Struthio camelus: one gene and its partner. The protein of the gene in region 2 purifies or fractionates together with the protein of the main gene of each other region. This does not show direct contact. Links are inferred from orthologs where the notes say so. Each region holds a gene or a part of one and is shown on either strand. Other genes may lie near its edges.

Region 1 (9,060 bases), on a different chromosome or scaffold from region 2:
AAAAACTCATGTTACTGTGTATGCTCAGCATTTTTGCTGTGCATACTACAGGCTGGCAAGATAATGAACTTCATTTCCCTTTCCTGCTTCCCCTCCCACCGCTTTCAGGAAAGGTCAGCATTGGTCTTCAGCATCTTGCAAGTATTCCTCAGCAATCTAGGGTTTTCTTGGCATGCTATATGATCATGTGTTTATGCGCCACTATTGCTAAACGTGGGAAACAAACCCAATACTGTGGGAACCCTAGCATTTGTGTTAGTGGGAGCATGAATTATTTCACCCTCACATATCCATTATGAGACCTTAAATAGCAGGTAAGCGCTAATTATCATAGGAACAGTTTAGGCTCCGTCTTGGAGGAAGGCTGGCCAAGAGTTAAGCTAATGCACGTTTTCCTGAGCATATCTTTCTACAGCACCTGGAAGATTAGATTACTATTTAGAAAGTGCCTATTCCTTTTGTTTTGGAATTCAAGTTCAAAGGCTTGAAATGATTTTGTGGAACACAATTTGTTCGGCAAGTTAGGCCTATTTTCCAGGAAGCTAAACACTAGAATCAAGCTTAGATGCCTGAGAAGTTGCAGAGTTACCCCTATAAATCCAACAGGAACAGGGAAAGATAGATTTTTATTACTGTAGTTGCTTCACAGCAAACTAGACAAAGGTAATATTTATACTCTTGTGCAGACAGGCAAGAATCTTAACAACAATATCAAGGGTGGGAGAATTTTTTTTTTTTAAATAGCCCTCGTCTTCAAAAGGTCACTGTACGTTACCAGAAACAAACTTATTTTATGTTTTTTTGCTTTGGCCACAAGCTAGGCCAAAACCATAATTGTTTACTGAACTTTACCTAAGATGAGACTGTATTTCAACTTCTCTGCGTAGCTGATGTTCTACTCCAGCTTCCTCCAACTGCGTTTTAAATAGCACTTTCAATGCAAGAATAAATTTACTCTGCTTTTCACGTGCCAGGTATACATTTCCAAATTTTCCTTTCCCCAAAGGTCGACCAATTTCAAAGTCATCAAGAGACCACTGCCTTCTGTAAAAAGATATGGTTAAAGTATCAAAAGTCACACAAAGTATCCAGTTTTTGTATTCTGGGTTTACATTAATAGCATTTATGTTCAATAGACTACTTCCTGACCTGAGCTAGATTGTAGTACTTAAGGGAACACCACCAAGAGAACAAAACATGCATTGAGACTTCAGAAGAGAAGCCTGAAAGCTGGGCTCTTCCTTCTTAAAGCTTACATGTAGAGATGCTAACATCAGCCACGTGTTACTGCAAAAAAGTCAAAACTGCATGTACCAAGCCAGGCACATTTCAGTACAGTTAATACACACGCACTTACTAATGCATGTCAGAACTGTGTTTTAGAGCTAGCCATACTAAGAGTCTCATTCATCCCTAATCAGATTCCAACCTCTTGCACATACGAAGGAGGCATATTTTTCAATTGTACATCCTGTGACTAGATTAGTGTTTATCAGAGTTATCTTATGGGAGTTATCTTTTAGCAAAAAGCTTTTCTTTAGATGACAGGGAGTTCCAGTTCCTGAGAATTTTCAGGTCCAAGTAAGCTTTCCCAGAGTTTCATTAAGAAATGTTATAGCTATGAAGTGTTGGGACACTGTTCTCAATCAAGGGGCTGGAGTACTTAACTAGAACTTATCTACAGCTAATTTCCTTAGTTGTAGCATGTAGTCCTAGAAGTTAAAAGAAAGCCTAATTAAATGGGGCTCTGTTAGCATTTAGGAGCATTTAGGAACACAACAACTTACTTCTTTGTCTCTTCATTTTTCTTTTTAGTGGTCTCTTCATTTTTCTGTTTAGATGTGCTTTCTGCTTCAGTATTTTTTGCTATATATGAATAAGGGGAAACTTATGAACCGAATCCATGAGCACAGTACAAAAAAATGCATGTGGGGAACAAGTACAATCTCAGTGTAGTATCAGCAACAGTTCTTAGATTCCATCCAGTGATATTTTAAAAAATAAACTTACTATTGCAAGGCAGCATAGCAGTTGAGTTACACTGCTATCAAGATGTAATTCCAAGAAAGCTTTTTTAAGTCAAGAGAAATGTTTAGAAGCTTCCCGCCTCCCCACCACCATCAATACAGCACTTTATTATTCATTTTAATATCTTTGGTAATAAAGATCATGATGAATTAGTGCCAATTTCTTTAATTCACAGTTGACTAATAAGTAGCTGGAAGTTTTTCAAGAGCAAAGAAACACCCATATTAGTTCTAAACATGCAATCCTGGCAGTAACATCCAAGATCAAGCGTTACAATTCTGTTTCTGGGTGCAGCCAGATATTTCCGTACAAGACTCCCACATATCATTAAGATCAGCTTCAAAATTCTTGTACTGCACTCTGCTTCATAGAATGGAAGCATCCCAAGTGTCACAACTATTTGACCACATATGCATCATCTTAATTACCAGATCCTGGAGCCTGCTGAGGTTTTTCATTGTTCTTGCTTGGAACTTGAGGCCTAGCAGTTGGCTGGACCAGAGATTTTGGTCGTGGCTGCTGCCCTGTCTGGTTGTTGGACAGTTTTTGGTTTGACAGTGCAGATTTTTGCGTTTGTACAGGAACTCGCTGGGCCAAGTTCGAAGGACATAGAACACGTTGTGCTTGGACTCCACTGCTTAGTAACCGGCTGTGAGCAGAATGCTGAGGCACAGGGACACGTTTTGGGCCATCCCCGATGGGATTTACAGTCTTCAAAAAGAAAACATGATATTCTAATTATGGAAGAGCATACTACAATCTTTATGGCCTCATTCAAACAACATATATATGAGTTAGGGACAGGGTAAAAGGGGAATGTGACACACTAATGGGAGGTGTTAGGATATTCTGATCATAGGCTTTAAGGATAAATTTGATTTATAGACTACTCTGCTGACATTTTCTTGTGGACAGCATATTCACTTATAGCAAGTGGAAGAACTCCACATAAGTCTGAAGAGTATCAGTCAACAGTAGCAAGACTGACAGACCCCTGCTTCCAAATCCTACCACTTGCCTACTGTGCTTTGTTTTGAATCACTGCTCTCTTGAATGCATCTTAATTTGCCTTGCAACATAAGAAGATTTCAGCAGAACAAAGTTTATTCTGTAATTTTTAGTTAACCGGTTTTAATCTTTTCCTTCCAAGGAGTGAAAGCTACAGGTAGTTAAGGCTTATACTTCAGCCATTCTTAGCTGTTCTAGGATACTTTGCCTAAAATTCAGTTCAAATATTGCTAATTAGCTTCTCACATTTATTTTAAACCCTCTAATGATACCTATGTAATAATTTTTACTTCTTTTTCCCCCTAGACATTACTTAATCTTCTGGTTCAGTTCAGTGAAAGTGTACTGACAGCCTGATTAACATATATATATATATATATGTTTTACTCATGCTAGTTTTGAAGCCTCATGTTTCTAAATTAAAAGAATGAGAAAGTATCTGTATGCAAAGATAATGCAGTCAGGATTATCTTGAGCACTCTCCACATGGATATACTAATAGTGACATTAACACAATACTTGCTTTTGGAAACCATATCTGGAATAAGTTACCCACATGCACTTGCTGTTCAGTTAAAGGCTATTAGATTATATGCAAGATACCAGGAAAGTGTTTTAATTAGAGAATGACATATCAATACTAGCAAGAAGGCAAACAAGCCTTGAGCAATGTTCTCTCCAAAAGAGAAGCTGAAAGATAAAGATAGGAATTTGTTTCTGGCAAACAGGAAATGCTACTTCAAGACAAATTTCCTTTTTTACTATTTAGAACTGTGGTAGTCACCACAGTTTTAAGTCTATAGCTCTTGTATGATCACAGAAAGCAGAACAATCAACCTAGCAAGTTATTTACCTTAGCAGCATAGCTATGGTGTCCAGAATGGTTCTCTTTAGTATTCTTGTCCATGATGCCTGAGGAGAAGGGCACATATAGGTTAGCCTACACGTGAGGCACAGTTAGCACAGACCAGCTCCTCGGGCAGCGCTGCGCCTCGCATCTTCCCCTCCGACGCTCCCCGCCTGCGCCCCTCCGCTCCCTCGCGGGCCGGGCGGCCTCTGCGGCCGGGCCTGCGCTCCCGCGCCGCAGCACCCTGCCCCCGGCTCCCAGCCTGCGCTTCCCGGCAGCACCGCCCGCGGGCTCGGCCCTCCGCGACACGGCCCCGGGCCCCATCCCCGCCGCGGGCTCCGGGCGCCCGCTCACCCCCGGCCTCGGCTCCCTCCGGCCGCCAACGCTGTTTGAATTCAAACCGCCCTCCCTTAAATACCCTTTAAACTACCGCCTCTTTCCATTGGCCCGTCTCCCGCCGTCCGCGCCCGCTGATTGGCTCCTTCTTCACCGACCCGCCCGTCCATTGGCTCGCCAAACGCTCCGCTCGTTGCGAGGCTGCGCTTCGTCGTGGTGAGCCTCTGGGGCGCATGCGCAACGGCAGCCTGCTGCGTATCCCGCGTAGGGCCAACTCGCCCGCCCCCAGGGCGGTGTTTGCGCTACATGCGTATTTTACGTACCGTCTCTCCGCCGCTGGCTCCTTCCGTACTCCAAGTGCGTGGATCGGCGCCCCGTTTACACACTTTTCTCCGCAAGTCTCTGCTTGGCCGGGTCTTCCGTTACGCAAATCGCGTATGTCCAGACCACCCACCTGTGGCAACGCTACAACTACCATCCCTTCCTCACAGCCATTGAGGCCTCAGAGCGTGCAGCCGGCTGTGGGGGGAAGGGCTTCAGGTTAGTCCTGCATCCTGTGAGGCACGAACCCGCTTCCCTCACCTCCTCCACACACGCACCCTCCGGCTCGGGCTGAGGGAGAGGCTGTGCTGCCACCTCGCGTGAAGCCGAGCGTGAGTGGGGCTCGGGGCCATTGTGTCCTGCCAGCGAGGAAGGTGCCACGGGTGGCAGCTGCCTAGCCCGGCGGACCCGCAGGACAGGCAGAGGGGCGAAGCAGGCCTCTGCCTCGCGTTGCCCGGACGTGCGGCCCAGGGCAGCGCTCCACGTGCCGTGAGCTCTTGAGGACGAGCGCGAAGGGGACACTCGCCACCGCACAGCCCGCGAGGTGACGCCTGGCCAGAGGTACCCTCACCAGCCAGCAGACACGCGTGAAGGGGAAAGCAGACCGTCGTGTTACACCAGTGGTGACGTGCGGTTGCTGGCAGCTTCCAAAGCCCGGCAGGTATTGAAGAGACACAGAGCGGCAGCGGTACAGCGGTGACAGTGGAGGATCAGTGCAGTTTGTGAGCGCAAGCGTAACAGGAGCTTGGGGCTGTTGTGTTGTCTCAGTGGCCAGCTGCCCAAGTGGTCCTACTCACACCTGTGAGGAGGACCCAGGCCACTGAGTGGCAAGCGACAGCCAAAACCAGTTTGAGTCCGTTGAGCCTCTGAAGAAGCGTGATTGAAGACAACTCTTACTGGCTGTGCAGCGTTGAGAACAAGCGCAAAGGCGAGTCTGGTGTGTCGGCTCTTACAAGTGATACAGGATAGGTAAAAAGAAGATGTCAGGTCGTCGCGTTGCTGCAGCATGTGATAGACGACAGCTCCCACGGGGCATGGGTAGCATGGCATCCCCCCTCCTTGACCCGCGTCCACTTCGACTTCCGTTTCTTGAGGCTGACGTGAGTAGGACTTTTGGGAGGGTGGTGTTTGTACGCTTGGGACAGGCTCTCAGCCTGCTGAGAGCCCGTGAAGTGTGGCAGCGTGAGGTGCTTGTTACTGTGCTGCCCAAGTTGTCGAACTCATCAGAGAGGCCTGCAGCACAGAGCAGCAATGCCAGAAACTTTGTTATTTTAGCCCCTGTGGATGTCCCCGTGCTTGGGATACTGGTGTCCCAGCAGAAGCAGCGTTTCAGAGCTGTGCAGCTGGGACGCTAAAGAATCCTGGCCCCGGGTCTCCTGAGACGAGGCACCCTCCTGCTAAGACCCGGCCCTGAGCTCCAGGGGGCTCCCCCACGCAGGTCACCTAGGCCTGCCTCCCGCATCCCACCCGGGAACACTGCTGCGCCTTCTCCCGGCGGGGCGCTGCCCTCCGCGGGGCGGGTCGCGCTAGACGCCGCCGAGGGGCCCCCCGGCCGCCCCATCGCTGCCCCCCATTCTCCCCCCCGTCCCCCCCCCCACCGAGGGCGCTCGGGGCGCGCTTGGCGCGTCACCGCTCACGTGACGGAGGGACCTGCCAGTGCCCGGGCGCGCGCGTGGTGTCACTGTCACGTGATGCTGCAATTCTCTCCTTCAAGAGTCGCCTCCAATCGATTTGCGGGCGCTCGATGCAGCAGCCTTCGCGGAGGAGCATTCTTCGCTCTCGGCCGCCGCCGCCACCTCCTCCCCTGCCGCCGCCGCCGCCAATCGATGCGCTCAGGGCTCCGGTCGCCATTTTAGGGGGAGAGCGAGGGAGGCAGAAGGAAGGGTCGGTAGGTACCGGCGCTGCTCTGGGCGCTCCCTTGCTTTCGTCTCCGCTGCCTTGGCCGGGTTTCGTCCTCTGCAGCTCCCACCCGAAGCTGCCTGTCCGCCCCCGGTGTCTGAAGCCTGCTCCCTGTGACCGCTGTGCTCCGGCTGAGCACTCTCCCCGCCCTCATTCAGTCCCTTTCCCCCACGCCCCCTCCCTGTCTGGTTATTGGTCCCCGAAATTGGTTATTGGTCTTATTACTCGAGGCTGGGAGAGGGTGTAGAGGGCGAAGAGAAGCGTGTGCTGGCTGGGAGGAGGTGTGGAGAGGATGTGAAAGCCTCGGATGAAAGGGGGGAACGTATGTGTTAGGGTGGCTAATGTGCAGGGAAGTCAAAATGCTCTCTGTTAATCATCTTCCTAGCTCTGCGTGCCCAGGTCCCCCTGTCTGCTGGTGTTAGCGAGGCTAAATGAAAGACACTGACAGGATAGTTTTGCTAACTAATGCTGTGATTTTTTTTCACCGCATCATTTTCTTTATTGCTCTTTAATATGGTTAACGTTTACTTAATGGCAATGTTTTCATTTCTGCAGCAAATAAGTGCAACAGATTTCTTATGTTTTCCTATATTTTTTAATTTTGTCTATTTAATACTGAATCTTACCTGAAACATGATAGCATTAGCTATGATCTCCTACTGTGAAGCTCAGCAGGAGGTACTTTATGCAACGGTCATAGTTGTTATATGTAATGCTCTTGTATGTGATTTTTCTCTTGTATTTGTTTATTTCAGGCCCCTCCAAGGCATTCCTTGCTAACAATGTATAGAACAAAAGTCAGCTTGAAAGATCGTCAGCAACTTTATAAACTAATCATTAGTCAGCTGCTATATGATGGGTACATAAATATTGCCAATGGCTTGATAAATGAGATAAAACCGCAATCAGTCTGTGCACCATCTGAGCAACTGCTGCACCTAATTAAATTAGGTAAGCTAGAATAAAAAAAATCATAAAAAGTTCAGTTTCTAGATCTGTAGTTAAATCCGTTTGGGGTAGGAGTTTAATGTTACTGAGAGTACTTGGGTAATGCAAAGCTTAAGTTTAGCGGTACCATAACGTTTTCATGTGTATTTGTTCTCTTGATATGCACTGGATGCAAAACAGATCAGTGACTGTTGGCAAAATCTGTTTGTTTGAACTTCTGTAGCGTGTGAGATTACCTGTCCAGGGTCCTGGGTGACTGACAACTTTCTAAAAATGTGCTTCAGTAAACAGGATCATTGAGTCTGCAGAAGTAATAGAAGTAGGGTGAGCCTCACAGTTCTCTGTCAATGGTAGAAAAATTTTCAATATCATTCTCACTGAAAGCGTAGGAAAGGAACTAAGCCCTTCCATAGGCCATGTTCATTAGCCTTTATATACTGGTCTCATTAAAAATGAGCTTCATGTTCTAGGGCCTCAGCAAGGGTACAGCCTATTTTCTCTCTCTCTCTCTCTCTCTCTCTCTGAGAGTACATCTGTGCCATAGTATATAGTCAAAATACCTGAGCTGCTGTTAAAACAAGAGGCCTGGACATAGCTGCATGTGTTCTGTGTATTGTAATTGAACTGGTTCTGCTGCCTGAACTAGTTGAGCTCCAAGGGTTTAAATATATGAAGCTTTATATCTGTCTGGAATAAGAATACAAGAGTCATTTTGTAGATGAAAGCAATGAAAACTTTTCTATCACCTGTGATAGGTTGATGAGCACAGTTAGGCACATAGCTGAAAATTCTTGCATCCTGCCTTATTACGAGTTCCAGTGCTGAACTGTCTTTATCCTGTAGATGCATGATGGAAATCAAAAAGTTAAATCTGAAGGGTGGGTGCGAACAGAAGTAATGATTTTTATTAGCAATGCTGAGGTGGTTTGTGGGATGGGTTTTTTTCCCCTCGATCCAGTAAAACAAAAATCTAAAAGGCTTAGTAAATGCTGCCGTTTTTAACTTTAAATCTCATGTAAGAGTGTTGAGATTTGATTCTCCGTTCTGTAGAAAAGCTTGCAATAGGTCTGTCCAGGGCTTCCCAAAGTGATTATTAGTGCATTTATCAGTACTTACTATAATATTATATTTGCTGGTTGTATTTCCAGGGTTAAAATTACAAAGCTAAAATTGCTAGAGCGTGTTGTGCTCTAGTGTAGCCAAGTTAGCTCTCATTTCTCGTGAGAAGTGTTGCTGTATAATGTGTTCTGCTAGCCTGGCTTTGTTGAGTAGGGGCTTATCTCTTCTAACACCTGCCTCGTATACATGTTAGAGAAATCTGTAGCACAGATCTGGCCACAGCCTATCCATCTATGGGGAAAGTTAGCATATTTTAAGTACATCAACTTCTCTCTTTTCAGGAATGGAGAACGATGACAGTGCTGTTCAATATGCAATTGGGCGGTCCGATACAGTAGCTCCAGGCACAGGAATTGACTTAGAATTTGATGCAGATGTACAGACCATGTCTCCTGAGGCTTCTGAATACGAAACTTGTTATGTCACGTCTCATAAAGGACCATGTCGTGTAGCTACATATAGCAGAGATGGACAGTTAATAGCTACAGGATCAGCTGATGCCTCAATAAAAATTCTTGATACAGAGAGAATGTTGGCCAAAAGTGCTATGCCTA
Region 2 (10,268 bases):
GAATGACTGACAGGGTAGCAGCTCTGAAGAAAAGGACCCACGAGTCCTGGTGAAGAGCAAACTTTGCATGAACGAGCAGTGCAGTCCAGCAACAACGAAGGCTAACCTACTGTGCCGCAGCAACAAAAGCTTAGCCAGTACATTGAGAGAAGCAATTCTTCCCCTTTACTCAGGGCTCATTCGAGCACACCTGGAATACTGCATCCAGTTTTGGACCCACCAGTCAAAGAAAGGTGATAAACTTGAGCAAACCCAGCAAAGGGCCACCAAAACAGCCCACAAAAGTAGCTGAAGCACAGGACCTATGAGGAGAGGCTGAAGATTTGTCTAGACTAAAGGAGCCTTAGAGAGCACCCTAATAGCAGCCTTCCAGCCTCTGTGAGGAGGTTATCAAGAAAATAGGGCCAGGTTCTCTTCCGAGATGCAGGAGGAAAATAGACAATTGTCATAAACTGAAACAGCAGAGATTCACGTTGAAAAATCACCCACAGGGACAGTAAAGTATTGTAACAAATTGCCCAGGAGAGTTGCAGAATCTCTGTCTTCGGAGGTTTTGAAGACCCTACTGGACAAAACCCTGAGCAACCTGGTCTGTATTCAACTCTGACCATGCTTTGAGCAAGATGCTGGACTAGGCAGCCTCCTGAGGTCCCTTCTAACCTGAATTATTTTTTGATTCTATATAATTTATGTGGTAGTATGACATCTCCACTTTAGCTTCCACAGAACCGTAGTCACAGGCTCTACTTCAGCTTTTCAATTTAGAGATGAACAAAGGAAAGAATATAGCTGATTAAGTTGATTAAATTTACACACAATTTTTGTTTGTAAAATGACATCAAAATGAAAAACGTACTGGACTGAAAGATTCCAGACGTTTCTTCTCCCATTCTTATTATTCCTTCCTGTTGCCAGAAGTTCCCATCTACTTTGTTGCTTCATTTGATTCCACGTGTCTTCCCGTAAAGGCTTTGTGAATCTATAATCCTCATCTTGACACTATTTTCCCCTTCCCCCAAGTACTTGAACTATGTTTAGTTCTGACTGGATAGTTGACCACAAGCTATTTCCTCCAGATTTTCTCAGCACATCTAGATTTGTCCAGAATAGTAACATTCTCAGTCTCTCCAAAATACCAATGGATGCAATAGAAAATGATCCACTTAGAAGGTACCTTAAAATACTTTTCTGGATTTGTAAGAGAGCAAGAACTTTAAAGCGTTGTCAGTGCCATCCTGAACATTTTCTGTCAAAGGAGCGTGCCCCAGATCAAAGGACCACAGCCCTTAAGCATTAATTCACATTTTCCTTAGAATTATTTAGTGAAATCTTACTTGCTCAACTTTTTAAAGCAACTTTTGAAACCCAAATTGATTGCAGTGACGTCTTTATGACACTTTCGCCTCCATAAATTAGAATTTTAGTACTACATATACCTGCATTCTAATAAAACCAAAATAGCTAATAAAATACTCAATCGTATCCAGAATTATCAATGGCATTTCAGTGACAAGACTTTGCATTAGAAAATGCTCCTGAGACAGCATAACCTGCATTGACACTGGACAATTTAACAGCAATAGTTGCTTTGTCACCTTCGGTCAGGAGAGGAGAGGGGGAAAAAAAAAAAAAAAAAAAAGAGTACAAGACCTATGCAGTTAAATGACAGTATTAGGACAAGAACAGAGAACTAAACACATTGCCTGCCTATTAGAAGGTTTCCAATCATCAAAATAATGAATATTAGGAAAAACACTGGAGTAGAAATCTAATTAGTGCTAGGATGGCATTTGATCTAATTTTGGAGAACCTGACATATTTGCCAGCATAATGACTAATCAAGGGATCCATTTTGGGTATGCTTGGCTAACTAAGGAATCATAAATACACACAGTTTCAGTTCTCTCAGACTTAACTCTGCAGCCCAATTGGACTAGTTGGAAATCTCTCTCACTGCGAAAAGGTATCATTTAACAGCCATTACATAGCCAGCTATAGCTTTCAGCTTTCAAAAGCTGTTCAAAGATCACACAACAGGAAATCATGCTGATTCCCTACCTTCATGAAAATAGCTAGAGAAATTCTAGCAGAATATTTACCAACAGGCAGAAAGAATTCTAGTTCCTTTACAGCAAAAAGTGTTAAAAATTAACAGTAATAATAAGTGTTAATTAGTAACCAAAAAAAGCATAACTAGAAATCACAGGTATAAGAACAATATCAGCAAATGTATGGTAGTGTACTTTATTTTCTTATCTGCTGGAAACAACTAAGTATTTTCTTGCCTGTTCAAACAGAAAGAGACAGGAGTATCCTTCACTGCAGCGCTGAGAGAAATATTTTCTAGTCCTTTAGCACCATTTAGTGGCTATTCATTTGTAATGCAGCCTTATACAGAAACAAGTAGAACTGCATCTTCTGCTCCAGAGAAAAATCAGGAAAGGCAAGCATGTACTAAATGAGCGTTCTCAGTTTCAAATGGCAGCTTTTTTAAATACTGCAGGATTTAGTCATTCATTTGAAGACATTCAGACCTCCAAAGTGGTGAAGAACAATGAGAAAAGCATGCACAATAATGTTAGAACATAAGAGAGAAAAACTACGTGGACCTTTCAAATTGGCAGGCCTAAAGTCAATTCTAAGTAACAAGTATTTCCAAGAGATTATACAGGACTATCTGGGTACTTCTAAAATAGAATGACATCTAGAAGAATATTCTAAATGTAAGGAGATTGAGTTCCTTTAAACACTTGAGACAAACTATAGACAGATATATTTAAACAACTGCAAGTCTATAGCCAAGTCCAAAAGGTTCTCACTAAACTCTTAACCCAACAGGAGGATTTCACCAAACTAAAGCAAGCAAAGATTAGAAGTGCTCTACTGAATATGAACAAGGTACGAAGCACAATAGGCAAGTAGAACTTTTTTCAATAAGAAATATCACTCCTGTAGGGACAGAAATATCTGTACAATTTCATCTCTCTGCAAATCAGGGAGACTACTGTTCCAGCTTTAACCACTTAAGTTGTTAACACCTCCTTCAACCCTCACCTCCACATCAATTCCCTTCAGCCTCCCCATCCTTTTCCAAACACAGACTAAGGGATAACTAGAAGTGAAGTTACTTTTAAACAAAGTCGCATTATTTTGTCAAGTATTTATATTATTTTGCCTTTTTGAACAAACCTGTTACATATTGACAGAATTGTGCTGGGTTCAATCACACAGTCAACTCAACCACCAAGCCTCTGCGGGTAGCAACTACCTAATCCACCACAGATTCAGTCAGAACAACAACCTGCATCCTGCCATGCTGTTATCCAGAAACAGCAGAAAGCTTAATTCACCCATTTTACCTTAACTCTCCATTTAAAACTTTTATTCTGGCAACAGAGCTATCATCAGAATGTGCTGAAAAGGCATCTATTCTTGAAGAGCAGACAAATAAGGCATTTTAATGAATTATGTTAATAATCAAACACAGATCATCAAACATCAGACACAGATGCTGCTTTTCCAGAATAGCAATTTAGTAACTCGCTCCTGTTGGCCTTTCAGCAAGGCTGCATAGAAGATTAAAAAAAAAAAAAAAAAAGCTTTCTAGGAAATAAAATACAACAGTTTATGTTAAAAAAAAAAACCTTACTTTACCAGCAAAGCAGCAACGTATTGCCTGTTACTACCAGATCCTCCCAGAGACAGGGAACATACAGAAATAGCACATCAATGGAGGATAGGTGTTATACTACAGGGTTATACTTCATATCCGCAGTAAAGCATCCTGGCATTGGGGACTATTATTCCAGGGCATAACTAGACTATAAGACTTCCCAATAAACCATCAACACAAACTCCCAGAGACTGCTAAACTGGTTTTAAAACTGTTCAGTCCCCTCTCCCCCCCCCAGCTGCATATTACCGTGGCATAAGTCTTTCAGCATTTTGTTTCACGTTCTAGCTTTCAGTTGTCAACGCCAAGACGGGGATTACAAAAACTGCCGTCTGAAACTGCGCAGCCCACCCATGGTACTACAAGGCTCTACTCCACTTTTAAGAGAAAGAGCTTTGCTTCAGTTTAGATCGTTCCCTTCCTTAGAAGGGCCACAGACAAAGAACAAGCAGAATAGCCTCTCCAAGCCCCGCATGCACAGACGGGGGACTCCCCCCTCCCTTCTTTCCCAAAGCCTTTTCGCAAGGCGGAGAGCTGAGAGAAGAGGCAGACTCCCCCCCCCGCCCCCCCCCCCCCACACACCCAACAGTATCATGGCAGGCTGGAGATGGAGGTCTTTCCTCTCCTCTCCCCCGCACCCCCTTGCTATGGGCTGCGACTGGGGGAAGGGAAGGAGGCAAGAAGGGTGAGTCACCTTCCCACTGAGGCCCACTAGCAGGAGTCGTGTCGAAGACGGGGAGGACAGAGACTGAGGCCCAGGAGGGTCCAAGCCGGGCCTCGCCAGCCCAACCCAGGACACTCGTAAGGATAAGAGGATAAAATCTTCCCTAGGACCTAACAGCAACCTTCGAAGCCGCACTCACCGGGCCCCGCTGGGTAGTGACAGTGGTCGCCATAGCGCCTCCCTCGCACCGAGACCCTTCCTTTCGCCCCGCCAGGCCGCCGCCGCTGCTACCGTTACTGCTTCAACAGCCGCCGCTAACCGTCACTCAGCGCGAGACTCCCGAGTCAGCTGATCCCGGCCGCGCCCCGCCCACCTCCTCCCTCGGCGCCGCGCGTGCTTCCAGCACCGCGCTGCCCCCGCCCCTTCTGGTGGTTTCCAAAGACACTAGGCACGCAGCGTCGCACGCATGCGCCTAAACGCCAACGGGCCGGGGGGGAAGAAGGGGGAGGGAAAACGCGCCTTCCCCCTTCCCCCCCCCCGGCCCCTTCCTGCGCATGCGCCTATCGCCTAACCGGCAGGAGGGGGGAGAACGAGCGAGCTTGTCGTGCGCATGCGCCCTGCTGCTCTGCACCCTGCGCAAGGGCGGCACGGCCGCGCGGGGGCGCCGCGGCTCCGGCGAGGGGCGGCTAATGGCGGCGGCGGCCGAGGGGGTGTGGGGGTTTCGTTGCCGCCCCCGGGGTTCCCCCCCCCGCCTCTTCCTGCAGCTCTCCGGGCGCGGAGGGGGATTGCCGTGCCTGGCAGTCCCGGGCTTGTCCACAGGCGGGTGGGACGCGGGGGAGGAAGCGGCTTTTTTTTTTTTTTGGCCTCGCCCTGCCCTGTCGTCTGGGTAGCTGGCCCCGTTTTAACCGTTTTTCCGAAGGTTGTTGGCGTTTGACCTCCTGCGGCTGGCTGCGCCCGTGCAGGCTTTTCCAGAGCAGAAGCAGCTTTAATATTCACCTCAGTGCTGCTCTGGGAGATAAAATCTGATCATTTCAAAGCCTATTTAAATAGCATAACCGTTTCCTGTTGTTAGGATCTGCTGCATGAATTTGCTCTGTTAATTAAAATTCTAGTGCAGATTTCAGCAGCTGGAAATAGAACAGTGCAATTAGGAACACGCCAAATATAGCACTGATTTTTTTTTTCTCCCCCCACAGTGCCATAACTTTTACGTGTGGCGGGAAGGGCCTCATCTTTTTACTTGTGTCTTGATACTCAGAAAAATGAGTACTGCAGGATATAATTGATTAGGAGTCATTGAACAAAAATAGTCGACGCCAGATGCAAGTCAGCGAGCCAGTAAAAGAGAAAGGCTGCAATAAGCTCTGCTGCTGCTACCAACAGTTCCTCTGTTGGAACTAGAATTCAAGTCAACCTACAGAACCGTGGATGAAGCAAATAATCCTTCCCTTGTCCCTGCCATCGGAAAAGAGGCTCAAACCTGAAAAGACGTGATTGTGGTTTTAAAAAAGAAAGGTGAATTCACCCCTCTTATTTTTGGGGTTTAAGAAAAGATCGACTACTACAAACTGAGGCCGTGAGTCACTCAGACACCAGTGAGCTGTTACTCGTATCCAGAGACTGTGGGCGTAGACATTTTTGCAGGGGATAAGGGTTTATTTTCTTGGAGGAAGGTAAAGGGACCTGATTTTTTCATTGCATAGGCCTTCCAGCAGAGATAGTGCAGTACAAGAAGGGGGCAATGCAATGTAAAATTAAGTCAAGTGATTATAGTTTAAGAACATTTCACATCTTACAGTGTCAGATGTGCAGCCTGTTAGTATGAAGCTTATGTCAATACATGCAGTTACATTAGTTTATAACAAATGCTGTGTTGGTATAGCCTCTTTTGGTAGATTAAAAGAAATAAACATTGCTTCTCTAAATTCTGTGCACCGTATAACTATATACATGCAAGAAAGCTTCAGTGATTAAATGCAGAAGTCTTTAAAGCCAGCATGGTTAAAATGGTACAAAAACCCCATACAGGTGAGGGAAGAAAATCAGTGCTTATCTTCATAATTACAATCTTCTGTCATGAAGGAAGGTTGGAGGGAAAAGAATATTAACAAATCTTAACAGCTATTCCTATGTCTATACTACAGAAGCTAGGAAATAACAGTTTATTGTAACTGTTCCTGGCTTATTTACTTACCTGTGTATCACTCTAACTAAGGAGAGCTGGGAAAGTCACAAGAATTTCAGACATTAGACATGAGGTAACATTATTGTCTCTATATAATTTATTTCAACAGAAAAAAGGGTAGTAGTATTAATTCAGAGATTCCTGAGATTTATATTCCTCGCACATAGAGATTTGCAGGGACTAGAGTGAACATTGTGCATACCTAACTACCACCATTTTCTAAGTGCATCTTTTATTTCCTTTTTTATTATTATTCTTCCTAGGAAATAAACTTTTTCCAACATAGAATCTACTCACTTAATTTTAATCACCTTTTTCAATCTGTGCAGTAAAGGATCTGTTGTTAAACCAGCTCTCCTTAGGTTATATTATTTTCTGAAGGGGTCCTGAAAACCCTACAAAAACACCAGTTTTGCCATCTGGTGGACATCCACAAGAATAGCAAGTAGCCTTCCACCAGGAGAGACAGGTGTTCTTGTTTCCCCAAGTGCAGTATCACCACAAATAGGAAGCACTGGTGCAAAAACATTAGGCAAGGCTTCTGAAGTGAATCTGTAATTAAAGTGGGAATGTAAGCCGTGGGAAAGGTGAGAGAACAAAAGTCATAAAACCTTGTTACCCGGAACAGATGGGCATCATTTAAAAAAAAAAAGGTTGAAAGGTAATTAAAGAAGCTATAATGACAATAAATTACATTTATCTTGTCATAAAAATTGAAACGTCAGTTTCTCCTATATCTTTTGTTCTGATTCTCAGTCTCTTTTCTGTCCTTTTCAGTTCTTCATCTGTCCATAGTCTCCCCTTCCCAAATCTTCTTTTTCCCTTTGTTCTCTGTTCTTTCCTATATGCTTCCACCCCTTTTGCGCCTCCTCTCAATCCTCTCTTTTGCTCTGACCCTCTGTTTAGTCCCCTACATTCTTCTCTTTAAACATGCTTCCTACAGATTTGTCGCAAGTCTCTTTCTTGAAGTTCCACTCTGAGTTTTCGGTTCCTGTCCTTCATAACCTTATCTCCTTGTTCCTGAGCAAGAGGCAGCTCATGTTTCTGAGATCTACATATGCTGCTTTGCTAATATCAGGACGAGTGCCACAGATAATTATTACCTTCACTGAAACCTTTACCTGGTGGGGTCATTAATGTGGTTTATTCCCTATATCTTATGAAATTTATAAGAGTTTAGTATCTCTGCAACCAGTAAGTAAAAATTAATGGAAATTGGACACAAGGTTCAAAAGTTCCTGGGGGACATGCAGAGACAAAGAAATATATGTTCACATAGTGTGATTGCTTGAAAATTATCAAGTAGGCATTCCTCCCTAGAGCGGCTCCAGAATCTGGAAGTGTAGATATTCTATATGCTTTTCTTCATAAAACAGAAACTGATGTTTCATCGAGAGAACAGACAAACGCACACAGCGCTGCCCTCCACTGAGGAACGGTTACAGCAGAATTCTTGCCAAATCCATTTTGTACTTGTTCACAAAACCAGAACGGACACCCCAAAGGCTGAGGAGAGCCGAATGCTATGGAGGAGATAGGGAACAGGAAGTTAGAGTGGGACAGTGTCCAACTTTTTGACGTGTATTTATTTAGCGCTCAGCATTGGTATTTAGCTCCAAAACTGAAATCTATCAGTTCCATAAAAATATAATAATTAGTGTGATGATAGCTGTATATTTGTACCTCTTCAGCAGTGCCCTTTTAGGAAAGTCAAGTGTACCAATTTACTTAAGATAAGCATCTTTACCCTCTTAAGATGTATGGCAGAATCCTTCAATTAGTAAGTCAAGTTCAAACTGTTAGCTAATCTCTTTTCCAGGTAACCTTCACAAGCAAATTGGATGGTTAAGCTTTATGCCATTTTCTATCTTGATAATGAGCTCCTGTCATGATACCAAGGGAGTTCCCACAGTCATTTAAACCCAGTCTGTTTGTTGGCACTCACAAAGACAGTGGAGTCACAGGAGTGCGTTTTTGAATGCCTTCGTAGCTGAACTAAAGCTGGCGCATAAAAACAGAACAAATCATAGCTGTGCCGTTTAGTTCGCGGACATTAATTTGGGCACTGCAGAGCTTGGAGATGGATCTCACAGGAAAATAGCAAAACAAGTTTTAGGTTAAGTTTTGTAGGTTTTATAAGCCTACAAGAATACTGCAGGATGGATATGCATCACTTTTTGGGTGTCAGGCAAGACCAGCCCCTTTTGCCATGTCCCCTGAGGGCTTCAGATGATTCTGCTGCATGGGAAAAGGATGCATCTTTTACAAACTGCACAGCCCAGTTCCACCACTTTCTTGCAGTCACTCAAAGCCCAGTTGGAGGTAAGCAGAAGACAAGGCTGAAGGTGAAGGGCTTCATGGATCCAGGCCATTCCAGAGTGGAAGTGCAGGAAAAGGAAAGGGATGTTGCAGGCTTCAAGCTACATAAAAGCCTGTGGAGTCCTGGTGTGCTGAGCTCAGCTACTCGAGATGTATTTGGCCTTACCTAGGTGCTGAACACAGCACTGAACACACAACAGAGTTCAATGCTAATCCTTTGTTCATGGTACCAGCTCAAGCTTGGTGATGCACAACAGAGCTGAAACAATAACATGGAAATCCCAGATGGTATTCAGGCTGGCTGTAACGAACAATAATTTCCACTTCAGTACCATGCAAGGAACTCACAGTGCATTGCAAGCTTTAATTAATCCTCACAGTCCAGTTGGGATGCAGAAGGATTACATCCCTCATCACCGAAAGAAAGAGCTCCAGCATGAAACATGGCAACTCTGTAACATACACAACACCACTACCAAAGAATTTTAGCCAGGGTGCATACTGAACTGAAATTACAGGGGAATTTAAGTGAATACAATGAAGAGAACAAGAATTAAAAGTAAACGGAAGCTCAAAATCATCCCCCTCGCCGACACCAGGCCATGAAACAGAGACATTAGAAAAAATAGCAGACAACTTACCGCAATCACAACCACAGCATAATTTCATACCACAGGGTCATAGTTACTGATTGAACTAGATTAGTATTGGCAAAAGTGTTGTTCAAGCAATTGCGGGGGATTCTAGCAGAAAAACTGAAGCTGCTGCCGAGCAGCTAATAAGTGGCTGTTCTTCAGTCATGCTGCACTCAAAATAGCTTTCCAACAGGGGAAAAGCAAATTCTATTGCCTTCAACACCTGGTTGAGCAACTTAATAGGGACAAAATTGAAAGTTAGAGCTGAATCATTATTTATTTTATAACTACATCTTCATCACGCAGTCCACTCCAAGATGGGAGTTATTTCATTTCAAATCAAGTTCATGCCAGGTTTTTCTGTAGGCTTATTCAGCACAAAGGTGAGGAGAAGGTTCTTTGAAAACAATTTCAGATGGCAGCTGCTTCAGAGGAGCAGAGCAATCTGCAATCATCAGGAAGAAAATTTTTCCCTTTTCTCCAGTTCCCCTTTGCTTTTCCTGAACTGTATTTCTGAAGTGTATTTATAATGCACGAGGAAAATGGTAGAAGTGCAAAGACTATATTTAGCGCTATTTGGGTAACATGACAATTCCCAGAGAGTCTATCAAAAGTGATAAGAATAGTTATGTGAGCAAAATGAACAGGGCTCTGTCCCGTCTACAACAGACAAAGAAATCAGCTTATTCCTCTCCACACTGATATTACCTCCTATGTATTTGAAAACTGCTGTTATTTTACCTCTCAGTTTTCTTTTCTCTGAAGTTCAGCTGTTCGGATGAAGTTCAGTCT

What was found.
Region 1: the proteins of TOLLIP (region 2) and CSTF1 purify together in Homo sapiens (co-immunoprecipitation; 3 studies listed by BioGRID and IntAct, with this or other methods). This does not show direct contact. The link is inferred for Struthio camelus from reciprocal best matches to the Homo sapiens genes TOLLIP and CSTF1.

Annotation. Positions count from the first base shown.
Region 1 is NC_090959.1:12,392,510-12,401,569, forward strand, and holds the start of CSTF1 (cleavage stimulation factor subunit 1), read left to right. Parts: upstream 1-4,560; 5' UTR 4,561-5,520; coding exon 5,521-5,640; intron 5,641-6,254; coding exon 6,255-6,428; intron 6,429-7,194; coding exon 7,195-7,390; intron 7,391-8,787; coding exon 8,788-9,060. Other genes in the region: AURKA (aurora kinase A), read right to left, coding at 853-1,044, 1,788-1,866, 2,457-2,739, 3,890-3,943. UniProt on the Homo sapiens protein: One of the multiple factors required for polyadenylation and 3'-end cleavage of mammalian pre-mRNAs. May be responsible for the interaction of CSTF with other factors to form a stable complex on the pre-mRNA.
Region 2 is NC_090946.1:17,358,666-17,368,933, forward strand, and holds the start of TOLLIP (toll-interacting protein), read right to left. Parts: upstream 4,694-10,268; 5' UTR 4,570-4,693; coding exon 4,537-4,569; intron 1-4,536. UniProt on the Homo sapiens protein: Component of the signaling pathway of IL-1 and Toll-like receptors. Inhibits cell activation by microbial products. Recruits IRAK1 to the IL-1 receptor complex. Inhibits IRAK1 phosphorylation and kinase activity.